7 linked regions of the Oryzias latipes genome follow. The main gene of each other region encodes a partner of the protein of the gene in region 2 in a complex. Links are inferred from orthologs where the notes say so. Each region holds a gene or a part of one and is shown on either strand. Other genes may lie near its edges.

Region 1 (4,228 bases), on a different chromosome or scaffold from region 2:
TGTTCGTTATTTTTCTCCAAGCAGAAACTCTTTCTTTTGCTTTCTTTGGGGTGCAAATTCTGAGGTTTTTACTTTCAGAGTTTTAATGAGCCTGAGGTTTTAACAGCTCCATCACACCTTTTCTATGTTCACCCTCTAGCATTTCCTTTGCTTTGCACTTGCTGTGTTTTCAGAAGACGGACAAGTGTGAGTAATAATCCTTTACATTTTCCACAAATCATAAAGTGACTAATCATTTACTAATCATTTTCCACTAATCATTATTTCTTTATTTGCAGGTGGAAGAAGAACCCTCCATTGTTTATTCCTTAATTGCCTTTAGAACCCCTGCAAAGACCAATGGCCGTGAATTAGCCCACAATGAAACCATTTACAGTGAAATAAAATTCACAAAAAGCAGTTTGGATAGGTTGAGCAGGTAATTGTTGCGATATTTTAGCAGTTCTGAAGTTGCCTTAACATGGATTCTGTTTTGTGAGTTGAAGTAAACTTCACCCTACAAGGTCCAAAATGGAAACCCTTAGAAGGGTTTTTTCCATTGTGTCAGAAAATGAATAACTGCTTGCTAATTATCTTTATGAAATATAGCATTGCTTTGTGTCTGTACCTGATACTGTCAGCAAGTGCTTTGAAAACAGAAAACAAGTTCCTTTAAATTATTCTGAACCATTATTTTTTCTGACACAAATTTTGTTAAATATTTTTTCTTTAAAGGCTTCGGAATCCGTCAAAACACAGTTTTTATATCTTTATTATTTTATGTGTAAAATATGCATCTGATGGAATGTTTGTCATTTACTTTAAAAGGTTAAGCACAAATCTTAAAAAAGTTTGTGAACCTCAATCAGCCAAAAACTATAGCAGCATGTCTGAATTTTAAATGTTTTATTCAATGTTTTAAAAAGAAAATATTTAACAAAAACTAATTGTAAAAATATTGTAATTGTTGTGAAGACAGCATCTGAGTTTTAAAAAAAAGGCCCACAGAGCTAGGCTTTTATTTTTTTATGTGCCAGCAATTACTATTACAACATTTTCGGTATGAAATCTACATATATATTTTTATTATTTTTAAATATGTGCAAGGTTTTCAAATACATTTAGTTACTTATCTGCACTGATAATAGTTTCAATTTTTAGAGCACGTTTTGGTTTGTGAGTGTTTTTGTAAATCAAATGACTTGAAGTTGATTTTTAAAAAAATGTTATTTATGGATTGTATTTTTAAAGTAACCCCTGTTTGGGTTACTGTAATTGATCCTTTTTCTACATTGCTAAAATTTAAGTTCAATAAGTGTATTCAACGTGTACTTATTGTTTTATCATTTGCCTAAATACCTGTTTGCGCGGAAAAAGCTAACACAGAAAGTTGCTTCCATGAATGGTTATATTCCGGGGTTTCAGTAGGTGGCAGTAACGAGCTTTAAACTGGATTGAAAGCGCCTTTTAAAAACAAAAGCCAAGGAAGAACTTGGGCGCCTTTGTTTTCTGATTAGCATCAAATTTTGGTTGTTTTTAGAACGGGTTACAATATATATTTCATTAACACTTTTTTTATTTTTTAAGTTAAGTACGAATGCCTTAAATTACTTTGTTGATGACAGTAACAGCTCAAATCGTGAGTTGGTAATTCCATGTAGGCTAACTGTTAACTGGTACTAGCAGCCGTGTGGATATTAGCTAACCGGTGAAACAGGGGGCCCACCGTGGAAACCAACCACAAACAGCAAAAATATCTTAACTTTAGTCAGTTCTAACGCTGCGCCGAACTCTTTATTCTGCTCAGGTAAACCATCTTACTCTGTAGTGAGAAACGTCTACTGCTTTTGCTAGTTAGCATAAGCCTGCTATTGGTAGTTGTATTTGTTCGCTAATTTAGCTAACAACTGTTTTCTGTTTACTCATTCATTCATTGGTAATGTCACTCACATGTATCATCAAACAACTGCAAATGAAATAGAGTAGTCCAACAACACTTTGCAAAAAGTAGCCTATTTAGTTTACTACATGTATAATTGGCTAGTGGGACGATATACTTGAAGTAAACTTTTAAACACAATCTAGTATTGCTAAATTCAAAACATAAAATGTTCCAATTTAGTCTGAAGAAGTTTTCAGTCAGTTAATACTTCTTTCACAATATACACATGGTCTATCGTACACTTGTACTTATTCTCACGTGTCCTCAATGAAATAAACTTCAAGTGTAGTACTTTTTGCTAAGTGAATGACAATGCCATCATTCACTATTACTTTAAATCAGGAAGAAGATGGAAGCTCCTCCTGTCACAGTTATGCCCGTCACCGGCGGTGCCATCAACATGATGGAATATCTGTTACAAGGTGAGACGATTCAGATATAGAAGGTTCAACCAGAGATATAGAGGCTTGATATATTTACAGATAAAACGGTGTATTTTTCCAGAATACATATATTAGAAGCCAGTATGAAGTTCACTGGCTAAATTATTTGAAAAATAATGTTTACATCTTCATTCTGTTGCTAAAACCAACTTCTATCCATTAATATTAGTCTTTAAAAAAAAACTATTAAGTTGAGCTAATTATTTTTCCATCATGAGTGTTGGTGTAGCATTAAAGAGCAAACCACACTGTCAAGAGTGTGGAAAGAGTGCTCAGTTACTTTCTGTCTTGAAAATAATATATATTTCTAAGGTTTTCCTGTCCTGTTTGTGCTGCACTTTACTGGACACATTTGTATTTAGTAAACTGAAGTATTTAAGATTATATAGATGCATAAAGATTTATGGAAAAATAATCCTCAAGTCAGGAAAGCTTTTTTTAAATTTTTTTATTCATGAAACCTGTTATTCATGTTTTCATCACATCTGAAGTGTTTATTGAAACTGTGTTTGTAAAAAAAAGAGATCTAAAACGAACACTAATTTTAACATTGAACATTTTTTAATTTCATGATGGAGGATTATATGTTTAATATTCATTTTTAAAAAGTTGTATCACAGCAGGAAATAATTATAGTGGGAGTAAAGAACTTACTATATGAGTCTTTAAAGGATATTCTATTTTCTCGTTTTTTTCAGGCAGTGTTTTGGATCAGGCTCTGGAAAGCCTCCTGCATCGCCTGCGTGGTCTCTGTGACAACATGGAACCAGAGACTTTCACCGACCACGAGCTGGTTTACCTTTTGAAAGGCCAGCAAGGCAACCCCTTCATTCTGCGTGCCAGACGCTCCCTCTCCCACCCTACTTCTCCATGGCACCTGCGGTATCTAGGCCAGCCAGAAGTGGGAGACAAGAGCCGCCATGCTCTGGTTCGCAACTGTGTCGATGTAGCTGCCTCTCAAAGCCTTCCGGAGTTCCTCAATGAGATGGGCTTTCGCATGGACCATGAGTTTGTGGCCAGTGGTCACATATTTCGCAAAGGAGCAATGAAAGTTGTGGTTAGCAAGGTTTCACGCATCCTAGTACCAGGGAACACGGAAAATACAGAGCGAATGTCGCTGTCGTATTTAGTGGAACTGAGCATTTTGGCTCCGGCCGGACAGGACACCGTGTCAGAAGACATGCGCAGCTTTGCCGAGCAGCTCAAACCTCTGATTCATCTGGAGAAGATTGACCCAAGCAAGCAGAGACATTAAGCATTAATGGAAAAAAATGTTTTTGTTATTGTTTTCCTTTCCATTTAAATGCTTTTTAATGTGATGAAATACAGATTTACTTTGCTTAAACTGTTACAGTTGTGGTTAATCTGACCTGTCAGAGTATTTTTTTAATTTATTTTTTACTTTTTGTGCCTACTATAAAGAAAATATTATAGTAACAAATAGCTGGAAAATACTTAAATATATTTTAAGTTGACAAACATTTTGCAATGCCTCAGATGGCTTATGTTATTGCTTTAAAAATTTTTTTTTAAATCTTCAATTTCATTTTTTTATATAATAAATGTCCACCAGGGGTCTCTCTTTCCACAAGGATGGTCTTAATTGGAGCAAAGTGAACGCTACCTCTCATCATCTACAGGAGCTCTGGTTGCCATGGAAATAATTAGCTGTGCGATCTGCACATCGTTTACCCCACTCTAATTAGCTTTCTCAATTGCTTAATGATACATAGACCTGTGAAAGCCTTTCTTTCTTCCTTTCCACAAAAGCATTGATTTTCCCTCTCTTCCCCTTTCATTTCTACTGTTAACCCATTAGTATCCTTTCTTTTTTTCATGGGAACTTGAGCTGGGACTATTACAA
Region 2 (4,291 bases):
GTAGTCACGTGTTGGTGCACTGCGCAGAGCTAGGAAGCTGATGAGAGATTGCAATTCATCAAGATTTATACCTCTCCCCCGTATATTTTAAATTATTGGAATCAATTTGTTCCAGATATCAACTGGAAAGCAGTCTGGACGATCCCTCATAAGTTTTTAATAATAAATAAGGTAAAAGAAGTATCCTTTAAAATTCTCCATAAAATTTACCCTGCCAAACATTATATGATAAAATTTAAAAAAGATATTAATACTGATTGTAGTTTCTGTGGAGATCACCCAGAAACAGTAACTCATCTTTTCTGGCACTGTTTGTCCACACAGAGATTTTGGAAGGAGTTCAGTAGATTCATCATTATTCATGTCTTCAAAGATTTCTCCTTGAAATGGGAAAATGTATTACTTTGTTTTTTCAGGACCCCCAAAAAACAAAAGGTATTTTTTATAATTAATTTATTAATTCTTCTGGCAAAATTCTACATACATAAGTGTAAATTTACTAATAAAACACCATACTTCCCACAATTCATTAAAGATGTAACTTTTTACATAAAATCAATATCCTTTTCCTCCAACAAAAAGGCTCTCAGAACTATTGAAATTTGTAACTCTCTGCAAATATTTAATGAATCGACTCCCCTGGCTGTTTAACATCGTTTGTGTTGTATATTGATTGTATGTTGTATACTGCATTGATTGTTCTTCATGTTGTATACTTGCATTTGCTCAATAAAGTTATAAAAAAAAAGAGATTGCAATTCACGGCCACGGTCAGGGTGTAATACTTGGAAGACTGTTAAATAAAAAAAAGTCTGAATAACACAGCTACAGCGCCTCTCTTTGCTTACTTAAAAGATAAGCAAGACATACCACTTGTCAACTGCAACTCTTGATTAGAAGAGGCTAAAGTGTCCTCACCAAGCTGACTGAGCGGGGCGAGCTAATCGGCTAATGAGCTAGCTATCTAACCTACCAAACGTAACTTTACCTAACCCGGTGTTAGACAAAAAGTTAGATGCAGAGGTCACTATGTGGAGAGCTGGGTAAATTTATATTTCAAACAAACGTATATTTGTAAGAAATTAGGTTATCTAGTAAGAAAACGAAAATACCATTATGATCCTCATAGTAGTAGAAAAAATCACGTACCTCTCTCAGGAGCCCCGAATAGGTTGAAACTGACTTTATGTTTTCCCGCCAGTAGGAAGAAAAATAGTCGTCATTTCCGTTGTGCTGAGGAGGTTAATATTGATATGCTGCGGCTAATGCCGTCGCGCTGTGGTTAATGCCGTTGTGCTTCGGGTAATGCCGTTGTGCTTCGGGTAATGCCGTTGTGCTTCGGGGAATGCCGTTGTGCTTCGGGTAATGCCGTTGTGCTTCGGGGAATGCCGTTGTGCTTCGGGTAATGCCGTTATGCTTCGGGGAACGCCGTTGTGCTTCGGGTAATGTCGTTGCGTTGTCTTTTTTGTATGTAGTGTGAGCTCTGTCGGCCTAGTCGTCATTTCCGTTGTGCTGAGGAGGTTAATATTGATATGCTGCGGCTAATGCCGTCGCGCTGTGGTTAATGCCGTTGTGCTTCGGGTAATGCCGTTGTGCTTCGGGTAATGCCGTTGTGCTTCGGGGAATGCCGTTGTGCTTCGGGTAATGCCGTTGTGCTTCGGGGAATGCCGTTGTGCTTCGGGTAATGCCGTTGTGCTTCGGGGAACGCCGTTGTGCTTCGGGTAATGTCGTTGCGTTGTCTTTTTTGTATGTAGTGTGAGCTCTGTCGGCCACCGTACGTTATGCTTCGGGGAACGCCGTTGTGCTTCGGGTAATGTCGTTGCGTTGTCTTTTTTGTATGTAGTGTGAGCTCTGTCGGCCACCGTATAAACCACTTTTTGTAATAGCTTGTAGTATTTTTGTATAATTTTACAATCTCCACATTCTAATAAATGCCTTTATACCTGATAATAGCAACGTCATAAATGTGAAATGCACAAATCTAGTTGATCAAAATAAGCACTTTATTATAACCGTAGATAAATAAAAGCCCTCAGGGTGTGAAGGTTGAAATCATTCTAGGTTTGAAACAATATTAAACTAAAGAATAATTCTATGAACTTTGCAGTGGTTTCTAACAGCAAAACTATTTTGTGTGCTTAATTTAACGGATATGATAAAAAATGTAAACCTACAAACAACAAAACAATCGCAAAACTCTGCTGTCAAATGAAGCTAACACCAAAACAATCAATGTGTTATTATGAGTTGGTAAAACGTAATAACTTGTTACTTATAACCAGTTGGTGAAATTTCCTTCACATTAAAATCAATGTGAATAAAGCAAGATGCTAATATTTATTAAAGATCACAATTCCGTTTTTGCTAATTCGAATAAAGTTATATTAGCACGTATTTGTTTACTTTAGCTTTTAGCTTTCGCTGATTCAACCGTACCAAAAAAAAAACGTCAAGCGCCACAAGAAATTTCGTTCATAAAAGATTGTTTTATGTGACTTAGAAATCAGAAAATTATCCAATTTGTTGATAAGAAAGTGCTCGCTTGGTTTATGTTCAGCTAGTTTAGCTTAGCCTGTAGCATAATGCAGCAGCTTCCTGTCTCTATGAATGACACAACAAGAAACAAAATGAGGCAAAAGAATAAAAATAAATGAATAAATCGCACCTGTTACATCGTCCGCTTTTACCCGATCTATAATAGTTGGATTTCCTCCCTGCTGTACCGATATAGGGAGTTCTCCAGCGGGGCTACCGCTCTGCACAGACACAACAGGCCCGGTCGCCATTGTCCCCTGTCCGCTCCTCCTTCGCGCAAATTTCCGGAACACCTTTTTATTTTATTTTATTTTATTTTATTTTATTTTATTTTATTTTATTTTATTTTATTTTATTTTATTTTATTCACATTCATCCAGTGTAGCAGCGCTGATTCATTTGAAAATAAAGGTAAAGCTTGAAGGTTCTGGCTGTCAAATAGTGCATTGGTACAAACGCCAGGTGGCGCACTACCACAAGAATATGATTTCTGTCTATGAAAGCGAAGCAACTAAGCAGAAATCTCTTAATAAACGTCCCAACGTCAATCAGTGAATAGTCCCTTCTTTTTTGTCATATTTGTATTCCTTTTTTCCATATATATAAATATCCATGTTTACAACATAGTAAAACAACTAACAGGTTGTGGAATTAAGCAGTGGAGTAAAATATAAATACATGAAGAGCAGAGGCAGTCATGCCCTGCACACACAAACACAGCATACATACACCTGAGTCTATTGTATAACTGAGCCTGTGGCAATGAGTGCTCTCAAGGGAGGATTTCCCACCAACCATTAGGACTTGCCCATTAGAGAGAGCAAGGAGTGTGTTCATGAATATATTTGTGCATACACAAAAATGTATTTAGGAACATGTGTACAACACAACACACACACAACAGACAGCTTTAGACAGCATTTGAGATGGAGAGAGACCAGATTGGCATCGCCTGAGACAGAAGACAGAACCGCAGACAGACAGGAGAAAAAGAGGGGAGGTGCTGCTATGTAATTGATGTGCCCACCAGGAGCTTTAGCTGGCTGCCTGGCATGGATGAGGATTTAGATACTGCTGCCAAGACGGCGGTGGGGGAAAGGAAAAGGAGGCACGAGCCTAGGGAGCACGGTAGCAAGCTGAAACCATGCCCATCAATCAGGGGCTAGTTCACCTTGCCATGCCAAGTGGGACCCCCTCTGTGCTGAGGGTGGGCATAGCTTAGGGAGTGAGGCTGGAACAGTAGCTAAACCTTCTCTAATCTGGTAGTGCTTGTGTCAGTGCCACGTCCGGATAGCAGCAGAGTCAGCAAAGGCAGGCCGAAGACACCAAAGAACAATTCTGAACTGTTTCAGATAAGATGGTCAGCCCAGCCCAAAAGCGTTTTATTTCCCCCTACTCAACAAATGACACACTGACTTCAATTTTTAGAGTGACCAGAAATTGTTTGGGTGCATTTCGTAGAACAATCAGATATTTATGGTAACATGCATAACAATTGGGAATAAATGAAGAATTTCAATTTTTTTAAATGATTTACTTTTCAAAAATTACCATTTGTTGTAAAACACATGTTTTTAATGGTAATTTTTTCTTAGAGAACAGCACACATGAAACACAATGTACAAATTCCTGCTCTACTTGTGTTGCGGTTCTAAATGTAAAAAAAAAAGAAAGTAAGAATGCTAAGTATTGATCTAAAAAAAGACAAAGCAAAGCAAGGCAGGAAAAGTTTGGCACTAAAATACCGGATAAATTT
Region 3 (3,500 bases), on a different chromosome or scaffold from region 2:
TGGGTTTTCTTTTACTCATGGATACTTTTCTGTGATTCCAATAACACGTAACGCAAAACCTATTTTTTTTTACATATCCTACCTTTTGAGTGGAACTGCATCTGCAGCCACCTCTAAGTTCATTTCCTCCAGGTTGTCTAAGGGAAGTTCAGGTGGACTGAATTCTGTCTTATCAGTTCTGGGAGTCCTGAAGCCTCTCCACCAGCTGACCCCGTTCTCCCGCTGCCTCAGAAGATCCGTGTACACAGCTGTCTCGCTGGTGATTGCTCCCACTCCCGAACCCCCATCTGGACACACGGTAGCATCCAGAGGCACATCTAAACCCTCTGGATCCTGCATCCGGGGGTGCGGACTCAGCGTGGGTGGAAGGGGAGACATTGGTGAATGAAGAAGGGACTCTGGGGGTTTCCTGCCATTTGACATGGGTTTGGAATATTTGCAGGTTGGCAGAGAGGCCAGGGTCTCCATGGGTGGATCGAGTGCAACAATGCCACCCATTTGAGGCCCTCCAGGTGAGTCCTGTTCCAAGGGGCCGTCCTGCGTGACAGTTAGACGATGGTGAAAAGGGATCACTGAGGGTTTTTTGGATTGTTTGTCGGTTTTTTCTGTCTTGTCACTTGTCTTGTGTTTAGGGAGCGAAGGAGGATACAACGACGGACCAGAGGACTGTGTGGAGCTGCTAATAGTCTGAGTGTTTGTTGCAGAGGTGATGGCCATATTAAACTTTTGCTGCTTTAACCTGCAAAAAAGGGAAAGTAAGATATTCAAAACTTATTGAAAAAACAATATCTTATAACTATTTTACAGAACAGCTTAATTGTGACCTAAAGATACCTGGAACAGCTGCAGGGCGTTCTAGATCCCAGATCATTAAAATTCCATGTTGTTACTCCGTTTGGCGCTTCCTTCCTCTGCGTTAACTCAGTTGCTCTGCAGAACACAAACAAATCCATGAGGGGGGGGGGGGGCTAAATTGCTTTAACTGGCTAATAGTGGCAATTGCTTCAGAAACAAGGCAATAATGTTTCGCATACAGATGCTGAGGCTGGTTGAGATAGCACTCCTTCCAGGCCTGATGGACCACATGACACGTAAGCTTCTTCCCAGAATGTTTCGGGCTGATGCTGTTGATGCCCGTGCTGCTGTCTGGTGTGGGGACACTGGAGACGGAGGTCACAAAGCCACTGTCCGCTAAAAAATGGAAAATATGGCGTGATGGGACAGAAAGATTTGAGGCGTGTGTTTCTATTTTCAGAAAAGACGGTTTCCTCCATAAGGCATATAAATACATTTTTTGGAGGGATTTCTCAAAGAATTTGTAAAAAAGTTTTAAATCAACAAACAGTAAAGTGCAAATGACGTGCTGTGGTTACTGCCCTTCTTTCACAGTTATGTTTATATGAAGCTGGGAATAGCATAAGCATTAAGGTGCTTTTAATTTTGACTGTAAAATTATTGTTTTTTATATAAAAAAATTGTTTATGTAATGAAAAATATGTGCTTAAGTTTGATTCATAGTTCTGTTACATTTGCCTGAACTGAAAAAATATGCTTAAAGCAGAAAATTGTTTTTTTCTTGGACTAATGTTCATGTCTGGGTTTTCTTTTTTCTTTTTTTTACCAGAGCATGGCTGCTCAGGGGATGTTGGTGGAGTCAGCGGCACACTGCAGTTGTTTGGCTCCTTGGTGAGGCCCTGGGCCACAGAAACAGGAGGCTGCTCCACTGGTAGGTCTCCTTGGGTAATCAGCACAAAAGCAGCTGGGTAGGTCATCCTTACTCCCCCTAAGAATAAACAAAAACAGTTGTTTTTATTGTGTTTTGACAAAATGTTGATCTCTGCTGATGCACTTGAATTTTGCAATCCGTTTTATCACACGGCACTTAGATAAGTAAAAAAACAAAAGCTCAACATTTTCTTTGTTACTATCATTGCTCTTTACATGTAGCACCACTGGTATCCAGAGGAGTTTTAATTGTAATCAGGTCAAGTCGGCGCTGTGGGATCAGACTGATTAGGCTGTTAGAGAAACTCCCTGGAGTTCATACCTCAGCTTCCCGACTGCTCCTCTCCTGCCTTCCAGCTATTTCCCCTTTTCCACTCTCAGGTGTATTACAAAGATTGAGAGGATCTTTGCAGTCAAAGCTTCTCTATTCAGTAAAACCACAGCTCAAAATGTCTGAGTCTACACCAGGGTTATAAGTGAGGTGCAGTTCCTTCACTATTTAGTTTAACAGAGAACACCAAATGTGGAATATTGTAAATATTCACTGATGTTTGTAAAAGAAGAATCTCCATTCCTTAATTGTGGATTCAATAGAATAAAGTACCTTCAGTCTATAAAATTGGTTTTATTATTTTGTTGACCATACCTACGATGACCTCCACTGCCACATGACTGCAGCGATCACAAGCCTGGCCAGCCTCTCCTTTCTCCTTCTCACCACTTCCCTCCTTTTGTGGATAAACCATTGGATAAAAGTAGCTCCACTCTTCTATGAGCTTTCGTACTGCCGGGTCACTCATCTTGTAGGCTTGACCAGTCAGAGTGCCACTCAGACTGTATGGACTCAGCACAACTGTAATGAAAAAAGATAGTTTAAAGACTCAAAGTAAAAGTAAAAAGTAATCATCACAAAACAAACTGACAAATTATAACAATTTAAAATTTAAGTATTTCTATGCAGCCATAATCTATTTTTATTTTAAAAAAAAGATTTTTAGTACAAAAATGCGTATGTGAGCATGACCTGATATTGACCTGTTTGAATATATATGTGTTTTAGTCTTTTCATACTCTGAATGTTATCACAGACATAAATATAAACCATCATGCTGCATCAGAATGTGTGCAAACTTAGTAAAAAAAAAGTGCTAATTAATTTGTAAACCCTAAAATGGACAGCTTTTTCCTGCCTGCATCAAATCAGGCGTCTGCAACCTGCGGCTCCGGAGCCACATGTTGTAGTTTTACCCCTCTTTGCTTAAAGAAAAATTAAAAAATAAAAATTTCTAGTAAAAAGTATAGTATAGTAAAAAAAAGTAAACTAATTGAAACTTCATTTAACTCAAACATTTTGACAGATTTTTGTATGCAATTGGACGTCAGTATTAAGGTGCACCAGATTGTAAGGCGGATTTTGTTTTATAGATTTATAGATTAAGGGGCCCACTGTTTAATTATTTTCAAATGTTTGTTTGTTTATTTTTACATAAAATAAGGTTCCAGCTCCTAAAACCCACAAAACTAGGACTTCAGAAAAAATACGTCAACTCTTTACTAAACTTTATAATTATTATGAGAAAAAAAAATAGAAAACATATTTTCTATGAGTCAAACATCAGGTTCAAATGTCAAAGTACTTGAAAAGCAACTGGTTTGTGGTATTACCCTGAACTGGGGTGGTAGAGGTCTGTGCAAGGCGGATGTGGTGATCTGTGATGTGGTATGCAGCTTGGTGCTGGACAATCTCCACGCTCGTGCACACATTGCTCTCCCCG
Region 4 (3,242 bases), on a different chromosome or scaffold from region 2:
ATTGACATTTATCAAGTATGAGACTGGCTTGTGCTTTATAGTCCTTCAAATCCTTGAACTTTTCCAGATATTCCAGGATTTTTGCCTCCATAGAAATCCATGGGGAATCCTTGGTGCAGAAGCTCGCTGGTTTGATCCCTCTGGCATTTTTCACACACGTATCTATTTGTTATTGTGCTGTTTTCACTTTATTGTTGTTCAACTTTGATCATTTCTTTCCTTTTTTGTGCCAATTCTTACCCTTTAAAGGTTCATTTTCATTCAACAATATAGCATTCAACCCTGAATTTTCTTCTGGAAATGCGGCTCCTTCTAGTTCACCTAACATTTTCTGAACTAAAAAATGCATCAGCTACATTAAAAAAAGGCTCTGGTTTCTTACCTCCACCTGATTTCTTTATTGCAAAGACATTCAACTAAGTTCCTAAAATAAATGTTCCAGAAGTTGGTTTTCAAAAGTTTCAGAAAAACATAATCAAGCATTTGATACAACCCCCCCCCCCCCCCCCCCCCAAAAGAAAATAAAATACAAAAAGGCCAGTTTGCTTTCCTGACCTAACGTACATTACTCCCTGGGATCTGCAGTTTACGAAGTTTGTTGAACAACTCCAAGTACTGCGTCATGGTGTCAACACAGTCCGCTGCTGCAAAAAGCCCTTCGGGTTTAGCAGCAAACACAGATGGAAGTTCGGGAACGCTGGTGCCAAGAAAAGACTGCATGAACTCCTTCATGAGGTTCCAGCAGTCCCCAGGAACCACACAGGGGCAGTACTCCACCTGCAGTAAAACACACAGGGCACATCATGTCCACCCGTCCCGCTGAAAGGGACAAACTGCATTTCCATACCTCCACTGAAATGCCTCTGGCGCTGGAGCTCATCGTCACAGTGCCCACCTTTATCAAAAAGTCACAGTATCGGTAGCGGGAGCCTCGACTCTCCACCTTGTGTCCCTTGGCGTTCTGGAAATGACTTTTTAACTTGGACATGAGGACGTCAAAGTTAGCATCAGCTACTAAGTAGGGTCCTCCTTCGAATAGGGCCATGCAGCTCAGAGGGGTTTCAGAGTTATGCATCACGTATAAGAGCTTGGAGGGCTGACCTGTGACAGACGGGAAACACTGGATGATGCATTCAACTCAATAATACATAAACTCCACATCCATGATTCAAATAAAGGCACATCTGTTATTGATGTAAAAAAGGTTTTTAAAGTCTAAAACCTTAAACAATATTTGGTTTTATAGTAAGGCTTTGAGATGGTTTCTACCATAAAAGGCCAGAGCCATTAAAGTGCAGCTGAAGGGGTGATCTGTCGTCACACTCCAGTAGAACTAATAGGACCCTTATCTAATTTGTAAAATATTCTCAAGATAATTTGACAAACACACATAAGATAAAGTGGCTATGTATGCTTAATTGTGTCCCATATTTACTGCAGATGTGTCTGAAGGAAGAATTAGCAAAAGCCCTGAATGTTCTTGTTAAAAATGCTACCAATTAAATGCAAGGGCACAAACGGAGCTCATATGCCAATCACCTTTTTTTAATTGCTTTTTAAAGGTCTAAGCAACCACAACTAATTACCACATGAATAAATAACTACTAATATGTTTCCCGCGTGATGCTTGAAAAAGTAGCGAGCTTACCGACAACGTTTCCCGTGGCGTGGTATGTCTCACAATCCACGCAGAAGCTGCCTTGTTTCACAGAACCGAGCTGCTCCAGCTTTTTTTGCAGGACGTCCACGGTCTGCTGCACACTCTTGCCCTCCGCTATGGGCACCTGACAAACACTGAAAGACAAAACACCCGACTGAGCAGCGACAACCCAACGCATCCATGAAGGGGAGGAGCACGCTTTCCCCAAAAGAACAAACATTTGAAATAGACAGGTCCTATAAACATAGCGAAACCAAACTATGTTGAAATAATAATTACACTTTAATGAGCCAAAATATTCCTTACCAAGTTACTCCCATTTTTGTTTTGCCTCCTTCGCAACTACTTCCGGTTAAACAAATTGACTTCCGGTAAAGGAAAAAATAAAATAAAAATACAAGTGAACATAGACGAATTGAGTTAAACTGATTAACTCAGTTAATAAACATAGGTTCTTTCATATATAATGTTTCGAAACATTTTTAATGAAACCGGATGTGACGTAATGTATTTCCGCTGCCTCTGTCGCGCATGCCGTTTGTCCGCACGTGCTAAACAGCTGGGTGTTTACACACTAAAAAGGCATAGACAGGCTTTAGCTTGTAAATTTTTTTGGAGCTGTAGCGATGCCGAAAGTGAAGAAATCTAAAGGTGGAGGAGAAAAGAGCTCTGGATCCGTGGCGCTGGCTGACCAGATCCTGCAGACGGACACGGTCCGAGCCCGCAACCGGGTTAAGAGCAGAGACCAGCGGCCAGAAAGCGACGACACCTACGTAGACGAGCGGCTGTCGCGGAAAATCCTACAGCAAGCCCGAATTCAGCAAGAGGAGCTTCAGACCGAATATGGGCTGGTACCGGAGAAGAAGAAGGCGACACCGGTCACTGTTCTTGGTAATGTTGGATCAGAACCAGGACATCCGCTTCAGTTTAGAAAATGATCAAACAGAAGCCGTTGATTAAGGTTTCTAAAGGTTCTCTCTTGTTCTAGTTTTTCTTACCGAAGAAAACGATGACCAACTTTAGTAAAGTTGCATCACAGATTCATCACAATTCAGACCCATCTACCCTTAACAAAGACAAGTACACTTGAAGTTTACTTAAGGATACTTGAGTAATAAGTGTGTAGTAGTGTACAAGTATAGACCATGTACGTGTAGTGTAGGACATATAGTAACTGAATACTTTTTCAGACTTTTATTGGAAAATTTTAAATGTATATAAAAAGAAAATTCTAGTTTACTGCTTTACTTTTAGTATAGACAGTATACTTGTAGTTTACTTAAATAGACTACTTTTTGCTAAGGGATGCACTAATGCTATGACTTAAAAATAAAGTTAACTGTTCACTAATGATGGTTTTAGTAAACACTCCAAATTAAAATACTTTCAGTAAATAAATACTTAAAAATAGAAGTAATAATGTTTTCATTTACTCGTTTCTGTAGTTAGTTGGGTGATTCCATACATCTAGATCTGCATCTTTTCATTATGTGAGTTCTAAACACTCCTGTAACTGTAGGTCCTGAATCTGGGGATGCAGACTCGGATGAAGAGTGGCCCGCACTGGGAGAAGCAGTTTCTG
Region 5 (3,500 bases), on a different chromosome or scaffold from region 2:
AGATTTTTGAAACTCGGATGACCAACATCTGCACGGCTGTATGTAAAGAACCGTTCACACCTTCTAAGTTCTCCCTTTTTCTTTCTGTACCCCACCAAATTTTCTACCTCCCGAGATGAGACAGATGGCGCTGAGGAGGCCTGTCTCTGTGTCGTCCATCTCCATGGGTAGCAGCTGGTTGGCGAAAGTGAAAACCAGGTCGGTCAGTGGGCCGAAGCCGGCGTTGTGCATCTGTGTGCGGTTAAGGGTGAGTCCGTCGGAAAAGGTCATGGTGTCCTGGTCGGGGGTGTACCTCGTACAGATGCGGAGGATCTGCCAGAGACATGGAACGTTGGTTGGGTCGGATTTACAGGAAGTTGACAGTAAATTGCGTTACAGCGTACTCTGTGTTTATGGAGCAAAATCCTGGAAAATTAAGAAATATAAAGCAGATCTAGAGGCCATCAAAGCAAAAGTGAGCGTTTTATGATCCAGCCACTCTGTTCAGCCTCAATTAAACCCGTCTGTGGAATCCTCTCACAGTTCTCATCACACAGCTTCTTTCAGATCTGAAGTCCCATGTGGAGAGGACAGCAGTTCAAACGTCATTGAAACAAATGTCAGACTGCAGAAACAGCGCTGATCCCATGAAAAAAAGGGAAAATTGCCTGTGTATTTTCAATAGCTCTGTTTGGGTCAGAACCATCCAATTTACAGCAGTGACACAAAATCCAGGATTTATACTGTTTTCTCCCGGAAATTAGTGAGTCTAGCACACCTGGAAGAAAGACCAATCCAAATCGTACAGTTCTGACCTGTTCAAATGTGAGCGGAGTCTTTCAGTGGGCACTGACAGGTGGAAAGGTGAGTATGGCAGGTGCATGAGCGCAGCTCTGATCTGATGCAGTGAAGCTGCTATTCAAGCCATGAAAATACTGCAGAAACAAAATATAAAATATGGCGACCTTCCACAACAGAACCAGCTCGGGGGTCTGTCAGGTGTGTGCATGTGGGTGTGTGTGTGTCAGGTAGGCATGTGTGTTCTATGTGTTTGTTCATGTGTGTGGATATTTGTAAAATGTGTATGTCCAAAAGCATGCATGTGTTTTGTGCAGCTAATGAAGCGTCTGATTGTGTGACAGCCTTTGAAGCAGTCTGAGCGTGCTGCTCTGACAGTGAGTGGCAGGCGTGTCTGCAACATGAAACAGAATAAAACATGCTCTCTGGCAGCCACTCCTCCCGGCTGGCCAGGCCTGCGCTCACACACACGCACAAACACACTGTTTGATCTGCCTTTGACGCGCTCTCTCCAAGCTCCAGCCTCCATATCTGTGCCCTTCACCGCAAAAGTGCACAATGAGCAGATGATGATGATGATGATGATGATAGCTAACCGGAGCGCTATCACAGCCGGCCTTCAGCCTCTGAGTTCAGGGCTCTGCTGTGTCACGGCTGATGAGAACATCACTCAGAGCGAACTCTGACAAAGGAGTCTTCCTCCCTGGTTCACAACCACATGGATGAAACTGGTTGGACATTTAGCCACTAACCTTAACCCCACCTGGTTTTAGTTCATTTAAGCCACAAACATACAAAGACTTGAAATTGACACTACAACAAATGGCTTACTGCCAGGCTAGCTAGTAATCACATACTATTTAAGTTAGTATTAACATGTTTTGAATTAAACTTAACAATAACAATTATTTGCCATTAGGCAGCTCCAGATCCTGCCTGCATCTCAACCCATCTACAACCTGACCTGACATGACCCTTTCACCACACACACACTTCAAGGGATGATCTGATCCCATTGCAACCACACAAATATTATCAAAGGACCTCCAGATCCCGCCTACACCAAAACCTATCCACAGCCGTACCCACAGACCACTGACGACACTCTCCTCTAAACCACCCCCCCCCCCCCCAAAAAAAAAAAAAAAAAGCCTAGCCCTGACCTGAACCGTAAGCTTAACCCTAACCAGAAGCTGGGGAAAGTATGGTGCACTGGGATTCTGTCCTCTATCCTCACCTACTTCTCTTCTCTTCTTGATAATTTATTTATCATTCAATTCTCCCTGCCTCTGCTTGGTGCAGTGCGATTCATGCATTGTCCTTCTATCCCAGTCCTGGGAGTGATTCCAGTTGGCTCGTCTGTTCTCCTGTACTTGGCTGTTGACCTTGTCTCAGGCTCGTCTCTCCTCCTGCTCCTACACTTGTTTGTGGACCCTATCTCTGGCTCGTCTCGTGCCCCCAGCCATCCAGCCACACATCTGGATCAAGCCCATCTGCTGGACTATTCAAACATGTAGTTGTAGAGTTTTTTCCAGGAATCCATTTTTTAAGGAGTTTTTCCTTACAGGGAAGGAGGGTCTAAGGGCAGGGATGTCCAGTTTACAGTTTAGTTTAGTCTGTTTATTTTAGCTTAGCCACTACCTATTGAGTTGTATGTCTCCATGTTCTTTATGATTTCATGTTTATTATACAATTACCGTTTTTTACAATTACCGGTGTGAAGCCCACTGAGACAACTATTGTTGTATTGGGCTATATAAATAAGATTGACTTAAATTGAATTGAAAAAATCAACAATGTGACACTCAAAAATGTGTCTATTTATTTTAAAGATTATTTACTTTTAGCAACATGGTCCCATATCGGCTACATTTTAAGTCTGAGAAAATTTTAGTTTTTTACCTTTTTTTATTTCTGGGTAACAACATTAATAAAATTATGGACCCTCCTGTCCTGCACGTATGTATTAATTGGAGAAAGACACAGCCAAATATCCACTGGACGGATAATTCCTGAAGTCACACTTTAGTTTCCGAAGGATGAAATAAAGTCTGAAGTGGAATGGGTTTGCTTTGCTCACCTTAACAAAGTTCCAAAAATTGCAATTAGGCAGAACCAAATACAGTTTGAAGCTCTTTTGGGTCCATTAACGAGGCAACCGAAATAAATAAATAAAATAATTAATTAAACTCTTTAAAAATGTACAAATTTGAGTTTTAAAAACTCAAAATTATTGATTTAAAACGTTTCATCCAATCAGAGATGTCATTAAAAAAATTGCATCAAAAAGATTCTTTAACCCAGAGTGAATATGTTTATTTCTTGGTGTGATTTGGGGATTCTTGTGCTATCTTAGGTGACCCCACCCTTACATTACCATGTAATCCCTAAGATGACAAAGGTGGTTAAAGGTGGAAAAATTTCATGTAATCCATGGACACCAGTGAGGATCACAAATCATTTAAGAAAAAAGGTTCAGAGCACTGTCTAGTGGGTGCCTAGGATAGCACAAGGGTTACACATGAGTCAACAGGATACTGCTCCTTCCTGGAATCTTCCTCTAGTGGTTTTTGGTGGAACTGCACCATTTGTTTGTTTCCTACTATGCTCAAATTCAGGAACCCAAGATGGAGGTTTGAAGACAGAAAAATGTGACTCAAATCTTATTAACATTGATACATTACCAGATTCACCTAACATTTGAAAAACTAAAATTCTGTTTG
Region 6 (4,202 bases), on a different chromosome or scaffold from region 2:
AAGCAAGACACCCTTGGATCATCTCCACGACTCTCTCCAGGTGTTTTTGGAATCTCTCCGCCGTCTCCAACCTCTGCCTCTTCTGCACCTCCATCATCACCCTCAGAGTCTCCCTGGCTTGGTGCGGCCTGTACTCGTTGATCAGATGATGCATGTGAACAAACAAAAGCTTTATGTCCTCCATCTTCTCTTCGCGTTTAATATTACCAGGACTTTTGATAAGGATGTCTAAAAGGTCCAGAAAGTTTACGAGAATGGACATGTTCAGCTTCTTGAGCTCCCGTTTGTGGTCAAACTGCATAGGATGCAGCCTCTCGATGCCTTGGCTCTCCAGAGGCCGAATAATAAGGTCGTCGCACTGAAACTGATTGCCAAACATCATGTAGCTGTCTCTGATGGGCGGAGGCGGCTTTGGCACCAGACCTTTGCGAATGTTTTCATCTGTATACTCCTTGATGTACTGCATGGGCGGTGGAGGCAGTGCGCTGACCTGCTGTGGTTCACCCATTTTGCAGACCTAAAAATTATAAAATAAATAGAACTACAAGTTAGAAAGAATCCAAACAACAAATACACAGTCATGCACCTGATAAGATCCCACTGTTGTGGCGAGTTCACGGGTCTCACTTATATGAAGTAAAACAATCTTTAATGACCCCCTCATATGTTCTGGGTGATGGCATCAGCTACCTCTTGCATAAACGCTTTCTCCAGTCAGTAAAGTCACAGTCATGATAGCACTTTGTCAAAACTATGCCTTTTTAATGTGCCAAAATAATAACTTTCAAGAAAAAATATCCTTATTTATTCATTTTCTAAACCCGTTTTTGTCCCTTTCAGGGTCACGGGGCTGCCGGAGCCTATCTCAGCAAAGGCAGGGGACATCATGGACAGTTCGCCAGTCTGTAGCAGAGCCACGTTCACACACCCATGCACACTCACACCTAGGGAGAATTTAGTAACCAATTAACTTATGAAGCTTGTTTTTGGACGGTGGGAGGGAGCTGGAGTCCCTGGAGAAAAACCAGGGGATCACGCAAACGCCACAGAGAAAGGTCCCCCAGTGGTGATTCTGTTTCAGGTCCCCCAGCTGGGACTTGAACTGGGGGCCTTCTTGCTGTGAGGCAAGAGCGACAACCAAGAAGAACATGCATCTGTGGAGCTTAAACATATACATGTTTTTAGGTTAGAGTAGATAAGTATTAAATGCAGATTAACCAACAGACACAGGAACAGATGTACAATGTTGACACTTAGCCTAATATTACTAGTTTTGTATATGCATCCACAAACGTTATAATTATTTTAACACGGTTTACTATAGTTTCTGTTACAGATACTTATTCAATAATACATTGTTTTACAATATATTTTTCAAAAGATTAAAGAAAATGTAGAGGAATTTTTAAGTGAAACATTTTTTTAAAATTGTGAGAAAAGACTTATACAGGTTTCCATAATCAGTTTTACAATACCAAAAATAATTAATCAATAAAGCCATTTCTAAATGCTGTGGAAAATGGCATAAAGATGTGACAGCTTCCATTGCATTATAGTTACCTGTGGGACAATTAAACAGATTTTTGATTGATTCCTAAACTTCTTTACATCCTCATGTTTTTTTAATTGAAACAAATTGTCTGTGCTACTTACCGGTAACTAAAAATCCAAATTATTATAATTCCTTTATCTATAAGAAAACAGTTTTTATTCAATTGAAACATGTTTAAATTTATATTATCTATCACTATCCCCCCTATCAGATTGTACTTGTTAAAGAATATGATTTTTTTCTGTGTGATTTAACACCATTTTTTCAAAATGCTTATTTGTTGTGCACATAACCTTATAATTGTTCTGCTATCAATTTAGCAAATACAACTGAATTAGTAGATTTTATATTCAAAATTAAAAAATAAATAAAAAAAAAACTGCAGAGTTTAAAAAAATGTTTAAAGAAAAGCCATCCTGATGTAAGAAGAGAACAAATGAGGGTCAAAAACAAGTCAAATTGTGGATTTTAGTAAAGAGAAGTGCATACATGCACATTCTATACATTAAAAAAAACACAGCTTTTACAAAATGCATATTTGTTGATGTCTGTTTTCAACACTTTGTATCATTGTTATTGAAGGAAAGAAAACAACATTCAAATCAGAGAAGGATATGTCATATGGTCGGTGCATGTTTTAACTTGAAGATTGCCACGATCAGAGTTTACCGTAGCCAAACGAGTCGTTAACCGCTCCAACCAATAAAAGTATTTTTTCCCACGCGTTTTTTTTAGGATTTTACACGTGCTCACAAGAAGTACAACAACAGATAATGTTCACACATCACATAGCTAAACCTGTTTTCTAAGTAAGAAGGCGGACAAGTCGACAACAGACACACACATGATCATCACGATTCATTTTGAGAACTATGTCAAAGTCAAACCTAACGTAACAAATCTCGAATTATTCCGCCGTAGTGCATTTAGATACCACATAAAAGCCCACGTATATACTAACTAACAGTAAAAGTTATTACAAAAACCTAATTAATAAAACCGCTCCGTTGATGTTTGGCTAACAACAAACGTCGTTTCCTGCATCTGCTGAATAATACAGTCTCTACAGTCAAAGAAACAGGTCTGTAACACGAATAAAAGGGTTACATTTATAACTGATTATTGTACAAACCTGTTTAACGACTCAATTGGTTGAGTTTAGATGAAAATTCTTCTAGCCAGTTAGCTCCTGACTAGCTTCGCTTTATTCATTTCCCGGTTGAGTTTCAGATGCCAGGATTGGACAGTGACCCGGAAACAAACTCGACGTTGATTGGTTGCGTCGACAAGCCTTTAAAGTATTTCATTATTAACCTTATAATTAGTGGGTTTTATTCAAAACTAATCTCTTTCCTGTATTAATTGTTTTAAACTTTTTGTTAGTTTTTGTTTGTTTAATATAGTGAGTTCAGGTTCTGATCCTGGTAGGCCTATAAATCTTAAAATATGTTCTTAAAATAAGCTGCTTAAGAAATCAAACCCAAGCAAAAAAAGTTCAGATCTGTAACCATAAAAAAGGGGGGGGAGGGGGACTCTAATTTTAAAAATGTATCTATCATTTGTTTTTACGCCCTAAATACAGTAGGGCAGGTGAAAGTGTCTAACTTTGAATTTTATGTTTCATTTTCTACTTAGTCAATTAGCAACACCTAATATTCATTCTTTTTCTTTTTTTTACACTTAAATAAAAATGGTCAAACTATTATAAGTAAGCTGACTTCATCTTGACCCTGACACTAAATAAGAATGACATGTAACATTTTATTTTATAAACGTTGTCATAGGCCTAGTGAATATTTAGCAGAGGGCAAAGGTTGTGCTTCGGAGTGTGCAAAACAAAACAAGAACATCGTATTTGAACCAAAATTGAAAAGAAAAATAAGAATCTTTCTAACCCCAAAGAAAACATAGCCTCATGAAAAGTACATCAAAGGTTCCATATTGTATTTGGATACATTTTTCTTAGAAACCAGACTTTTCTCTTTTGCTGTTTTCTGCATTTAGTGATTCATGAAACCTTGACATTCTTAGTGTTTGTAGGATATAACTTATCATGCATTTTACATTTTTAAAAATTGCATTTTTTTCATTTTTAAGTTTTCCTTCAGTAGTACTTTTTTACTACAATTTTGATACAAGCGGAGAGTTTCTTTTAAATGAAGAAAAAAGAAAATTTAAAAATTCCGAAAAAAAACCCCAGCTATGGCTTCTTAGGTATTGATTAACAGTGTTATTTTTGTTTTTAGCTTTTGATTTAATATGAAAATTTAAATTGTTTTCTAAAACATTTTTGTTTAACAACCAAGCAATTCTGACAAAAAGCTTACATTTTTATGCAAAATTTGATCAATAGTACATCAAAGGTTCATGTTAAAAAAAAAACCTTTATTGAGTTTAACACAACATACGTGATGATACGTGTGTGTATTTGTGTGCACATCAGTGTGTGATTGCTTGCACAGAGTGTTGCCACAAGGATGTGGTTTACTGCATGCAACTAACCCACGCCGGAAACTCTTCGGCATCTTCAATGTTTGCATTCTCCCTTTTTTTTCCCCCCTGCAGTCAGAGGCTTTCAGTTACTCCGTCCAATACCACCCAGTGTCTCCAGTGGTGTTATTCTCAACTGCTAACCATGTTTCCTCGGGTG
Region 7 (3,500 bases), on a different chromosome or scaffold from region 2:
TATTGTGGAAACCATGGAGACAACCGTGTGTAATGCTCTGTTGCAAAAAGTTTGAATAAATTATAAGTTCTAAAAAAAAAAAAAAAAAAGATGAAAGCAATTTACAGATAGAGATGAATCCACCCTCTGGGTTGATAAGGAAGAGAGAGTTTGTTCTTTAGAGTGTGGTACATGTGGTATATTCCAGGTATGGGGTCTTCAGGGTTAGTAGAACAAAAAACCAGAAGTTAAATTTGAATAAAAATATGGAAATTTGGAGGGAAAAAAACGTGAAATAATTAAACTAATAACATCATACGGTTCCCAATCGAAAAAAAATAATAATTTGTATAGTTACTTTGTAAAAGCAGCTTTTTTAATCTCTCTCCAGCTTCGTTTTCAGTCCTCAATTGACAGTTTCAACTCAGAATTTTACTTTTTTGTTTGAGCCGAATTGCATGTGGGGGTGGGGCTTCAGGCCCATTGGCTATCGGGACATGATTGACATGGTGTGACAGAGGTTATAGTATTATCATTTCCGCTCCAGAAAATCAGAGGAGGGATGACTCGGGTGGCGCCAACAACAGATGGAAATGATGTCACCATGACCTTTAACTCAATGTCTGTCATCTCCTGGTGACCAATGGGCTCCAAGCCCCACCCCCCACATAAAATAAGGGACAAATCCAAAAGAGAAAATGGTGAATTGAAACTAACTTGAGGACTGAAAGCAAAGAGTGAGAGAAACGAAAAAACTAAATTTCGAAACACAAAACTGCAGCTGTTACAAAGAAACATGTTTCATTTGGTAAAAGTTTTTGTTTTTTAGGTTTTAAGTTTTTCTTCTAATTTCAGTTTTTCCACAAGTTTAGAATTATTTTTTGAAATGTAAATTTTTTCTTCTTCAAGCTTTTGAGTTGAAATGTTTTGATCTAGAATCAGGTTTTTCACTTGCTGATCCTGATTTGACCCCATATTGACCTTTGTCTATAACCTTCAGATCCGCCACAGTGGGACGCGCTGGGATGCACCGTCACCTGTTTCTGCCGTGCTTTTGCGGTTCAGCACTTTCAAAATGTCTTTAGTGATCTTCTTGATGGTGTGTCGCGCCTCATCTCTCAGTTTGCCCACGCCGTAGAGGACCACTAAACGCTGGTTGCACTCGTGGCTGGCACTTTCCTCCTAGAGACAGAGTCAAAGTAAAACAGGCTGAACTCCATGACCTGAAGAGAGCAGACGTGTGGTGTTTTTCTTTGTCTTTACCTGTGCTCTTACCTGTGGAATGGGGAAGTGAGTGGCGTACTGAATGTGGCGGGGTTGGTCGTACAGCTGAGGAAAGGCAGGGTCCATGCTCTTGTCTTTACAGTTGGCCTTGCTGTCTTGATCTGGAGCGTTTTTTTCTGGAGAAGGGCTTCCCTTGGATTCGCAGTGCATGGGAGGTGAGAACATCTGCAGGATGAGACCAAAAAGTCCCCTCAAGTGAAGACAAACCTCTAAAGGACTGCTCTGTTTCCTTTACTGACGCTGATTTTAAAGGCGGGAGAGGCTTCATTTACCTCATCAAAATTAGCACTGGAGTTGTGCTCGATCTCCATGGACTCAGACAGACCAGTATCCTGTTGGAGAAATAATAAAACCAGCCTTGTTACGCTGTTATACTTCTGGCATTTGGTTCCATTACTCAGCTACAACAGATGCCTCCAACATGCCTCCATCTTGACACTGCTGCCTGCATCCTGCTCCTTGCGCTCTGATTCGTCATCGCTGGGCGAACGCGGGCGGGGCAGGTGGGACTCAGAAGCAAGGTCGCCACGTGAAATCAACGTGCACATGTAGATGTTGTGAGAGAAGACGTCGTGACGGATGAGCTCGCAGAAGAGAAGAACCAGGTTGGAGAATTCTACTCGCTCACTTTCGTTCCCGGGCTCCGCTAATCAGGGAAAAGAGGATTTGAATAATTTAATAGGAGGATTTCTCAGATAAGACAAATCAGAATAAATATGCGGGGGGTAATAAAAGCTGAGACCAGGAGACAAATCCCACATGAAACGCTTCAGGATGACGGAAAAACTCACTGAGTGTGGGAGCCTGAGTATCCAGAAACTGCAGCAAAACATCCTGAAAGACGGGTAATGTGGCAGCCGAGAGGGAGCCAGACGACACGGAGCCCTTCTCATCCACAACCTCCGACTCTGCACACCTCTGTGAACACACAACACAGCACAAAGGGTCAGAGTAAAACTCCTGGCTGAGTCTGCAGTGTTTGGTTTATAAATAAAGGCGGTGGCACTGAGGTAAAAATGGAAGACAAAGATTTCAAAACCACAAAGAAATAAAGGGATCAAATATGTCAAATTTATTTACAACACAATTCCAGCTACCAGAGATGCTTCCAGAGGCTCAACTAGAACGACCAGAACACCAAATTAATTTTCAACCTTATTCAAGAACCATCTGTGTTTGGTAACGAAAAACAGGATGCACATACTTTGGGATTTAAATTCATTAAATTGGAATTTCCATTAACCAAAATAAAAAGCTATTTAAAAAGCTAAAAGCTAAAAAAAGTTTTTTTTTAGGGCAAAAAAAACAAACAAGAAAAATCTTAAAGCCCACAGACATGCCCCCCTCTGCCCCCTTCTGCCCCTGGCACACTGGTCACGGTCACGGTCACATGACAAATTCTTGAAGAAGAAAAAACAAAACAAATCTTCTAAATGGCTGTTGGCTTTATCTCTACAGCAACCACTTTATGTTTGGGTTCCCTGGGGGAGACGAACAAGTCAAATTTTTAGAAGAATCGGGAGAAGTGATCTTTTGGATTTCCTTGGCAACAGAGATTTTTTTTGATAACCACACCCATATTCTTAATATGATCATATTGTGTGTCATTCCATTTTGTTCAACTTTTCACAATTTCCCAGTAAAAAATGTGCGAGCATCAAGGTAATGCCACTTTTGGGAACTCCCCAGGCTAAAGCCACTGAAAAATCGACCACTTCTAATTCTTCTAGTGTTATCCAAAGATGTACATCTTCTACTACATGGATCTACATTTTTTACCAAGTTGCATCCTAGTGATTCTCGAGGAGTTAGGAGAAGATAGACAGAAACCCCTAGTTTAAATTTGTATAAGGTAATAAAGGGGATTGAATTTTAAAATTCAAGACGGTGTCCTCTTCCCAACATCAAAGGTCAACAAAACTTGTGGTTGTGGTCATAGACTTAACCTGGCGGCAGGTGTAAAATTTCATCAAGATTGCTCGTTCACGATGCCCAAAATTCATTTTCTCCAGGTACCAGGTGCGTGCAAACTGTAGTGAGTTTTTGGAGTGTGTGGGGAAAACTCAAGTGCGCGCTTAGAGAGAATAATCGCAAAAACAATCAGGTTGTTGCAGTCCAGGTCTGCTGCAGGACATAGAAAAGGTTGATTCCTTTTTGAACAGTGCCCCCCTCTGGTGGGGGCAAATCCTGACTCGAATACTTCAGAACATTTGAACAGCCTCCCCAAGTCTGATCTT

What was found.
Region 1: med1 (region 2) and med18 share a complex: the UniProt entries of both Homo sapiens proteins name them as parts of the mediator complex. The link is inferred for Oryzias latipes from reciprocal best matches to the Homo sapiens genes MED1 and MED18.
Region 3: med1 (region 2) and med13l share a complex: the UniProt entries of both Homo sapiens proteins name them as parts of the mediator complex. The link is inferred for Oryzias latipes from reciprocal best matches to the Homo sapiens genes MED1 and MED13L.
Region 4: med1 (region 2) and med20 share a complex: the UniProt entries of both Homo sapiens proteins name them as parts of the mediator complex. The link is inferred for Oryzias latipes from reciprocal best matches to the Homo sapiens genes MED1 and MED20.
Region 5: the proteins of med1 (region 2) and rarb are in contact, whole or in part, in a crystal structure (PDB 1XDK), measured with the Mus musculus proteins. The link is inferred for Oryzias latipes from reciprocal best matches to the Homo sapiens genes MED1 and RARB. Residues at the interface, in NP_001073587.1 of Mus musculus: His642, Pro643, Met644, Leu645, Met646, Leu648, Leu649, Lys650, Asp651; in NP_001276689.1 of Mus musculus: Ile264, Val267, Lys271, Phe276, Ile281, Gln284, Ile285, Leu288, Lys289, Pro435, Leu436, Glu439, Met440.
Region 6: med1 (region 2) and med7 share a complex: the UniProt entries of both Homo sapiens proteins name them as parts of the mediator complex. The link is inferred for Oryzias latipes from reciprocal best matches to the Homo sapiens genes MED1 and MED7.
Region 7: med1 (region 2) and med12 share a complex: the UniProt entries of both Homo sapiens proteins name them as parts of the mediator complex. The link is inferred for Oryzias latipes from reciprocal best matches to the Homo sapiens genes MED1 and MED12.

Annotation. Positions count from the first base shown.
Region 1 is NC_019874.2:22,764,196-22,768,423, reverse strand, and holds med18 (mediator of RNA polymerase II transcription subunit 18), read left to right. Parts: upstream 1-1,429; 5' UTR 1,430-1,786; intron 1,787-2,263; 5' UTR 2,264-2,270; coding exon 2,271-2,343; intron 2,344-3,062; coding exon 3,063-3,619; 3' UTR 3,620-3,728; downstream 3,729-4,228. UniProt on the Homo sapiens protein: Component of the Mediator complex, a coactivator involved in the regulated transcription of nearly all RNA polymerase II-dependent genes.
Region 2 is NC_019877.2:9,668,136-9,672,426, forward strand, and holds the start of med1 (mediator of RNA polymerase II transcription subunit 1), read right to left. Parts: upstream 2,801-4,291; 5' UTR 2,787-2,800; coding exon 2,666-2,786; intron 1,365-2,665; exon of another isoform or gene 1,150-1,364; intron 1-1,149. UniProt on the Homo sapiens protein: Component of the Mediator complex, a coactivator involved in the regulated transcription of nearly all RNA polymerase II-dependent genes.
Region 3 is NC_019870.2:12,503,118-12,506,617, reverse strand, and holds part of med13l (mediator of RNA polymerase II transcription subunit 13-like), read right to left. Parts: coding exon 3,391-3,500; intron 2,579-3,390; coding exon 2,372-2,578; intron 1,784-2,371; coding exon 1,622-1,783; intron 1,192-1,621; coding exon 1,035-1,191; intron 931-1,034; coding exon 835-930; intron 740-834; coding exon 83-739; intron 1-82. UniProt on the Homo sapiens protein: Component of the Mediator complex, a coactivator involved in the regulated transcription of nearly all RNA polymerase II-dependent genes.
Region 4 is NC_019863.2:2,278,419-2,281,660, reverse strand, and holds med20 (mediator of RNA polymerase II transcription subunit 20), read right to left. Parts: upstream 2,091-3,242; 5' UTR 1,981-2,090; coding exon 1,967-1,980; intron 1,795-1,966; coding exon 1,649-1,794; intron 1,102-1,648; coding exon 848-1,101; intron 778-847; coding exon 556-777; 3' UTR 501-555; downstream 1-500. Other genes in the region: bysl (bystin), read left to right, coding at 2,287-2,551, 3,180-3,242. UniProt on the Homo sapiens protein: Component of the Mediator complex, a coactivator involved in the regulated transcription of nearly all RNA polymerase II-dependent genes.
Region 5 is NC_019869.2:19,009,627-19,013,126, reverse strand, and holds part of rarb (retinoic acid receptor beta), read right to left. Parts: intron 313-3,500; coding exon 108-312; intron 1-107. UniProt on the Homo sapiens protein: Receptor for retinoic acid. Retinoic acid receptors bind as heterodimers to their target response elements in response to their ligands, all-trans or 9-cis retinoic acid, and regulate gene expression in various biological processes.
Region 6 is NC_019868.2:21,185,906-21,190,107, forward strand, and holds the start of med7 (mediator of RNA polymerase II transcription subunit 7), read right to left. Parts: upstream 2,801-4,202; 5' UTR 2,685-2,800; intron 518-2,684; 5' UTR 509-517; coding exon 1-508. Other genes in the region: itk (tyrosine-protein kinase ITK/TSK), read left to right, coding at 4,188-4,202. UniProt on the Homo sapiens protein: Component of the Mediator complex, a coactivator involved in the regulated transcription of nearly all RNA polymerase II-dependent genes.
Region 7 is NC_019868.2:8,252,762-8,256,261, reverse strand, and holds part of med12 (mediator of RNA polymerase II transcription subunit 12), read right to left. Parts: intron 2,182-3,500; coding exon 2,055-2,181; intron 1,910-2,054; coding exon 1,689-1,909; intron 1,596-1,688; coding exon 1,536-1,595; intron 1,429-1,535; coding exon 1,255-1,428; intron 1,162-1,254; coding exon 1,017-1,161; intron 1-1,016. UniProt on the Homo sapiens protein: Component of the Mediator complex, a coactivator involved in the regulated transcription of nearly all RNA polymerase II-dependent genes.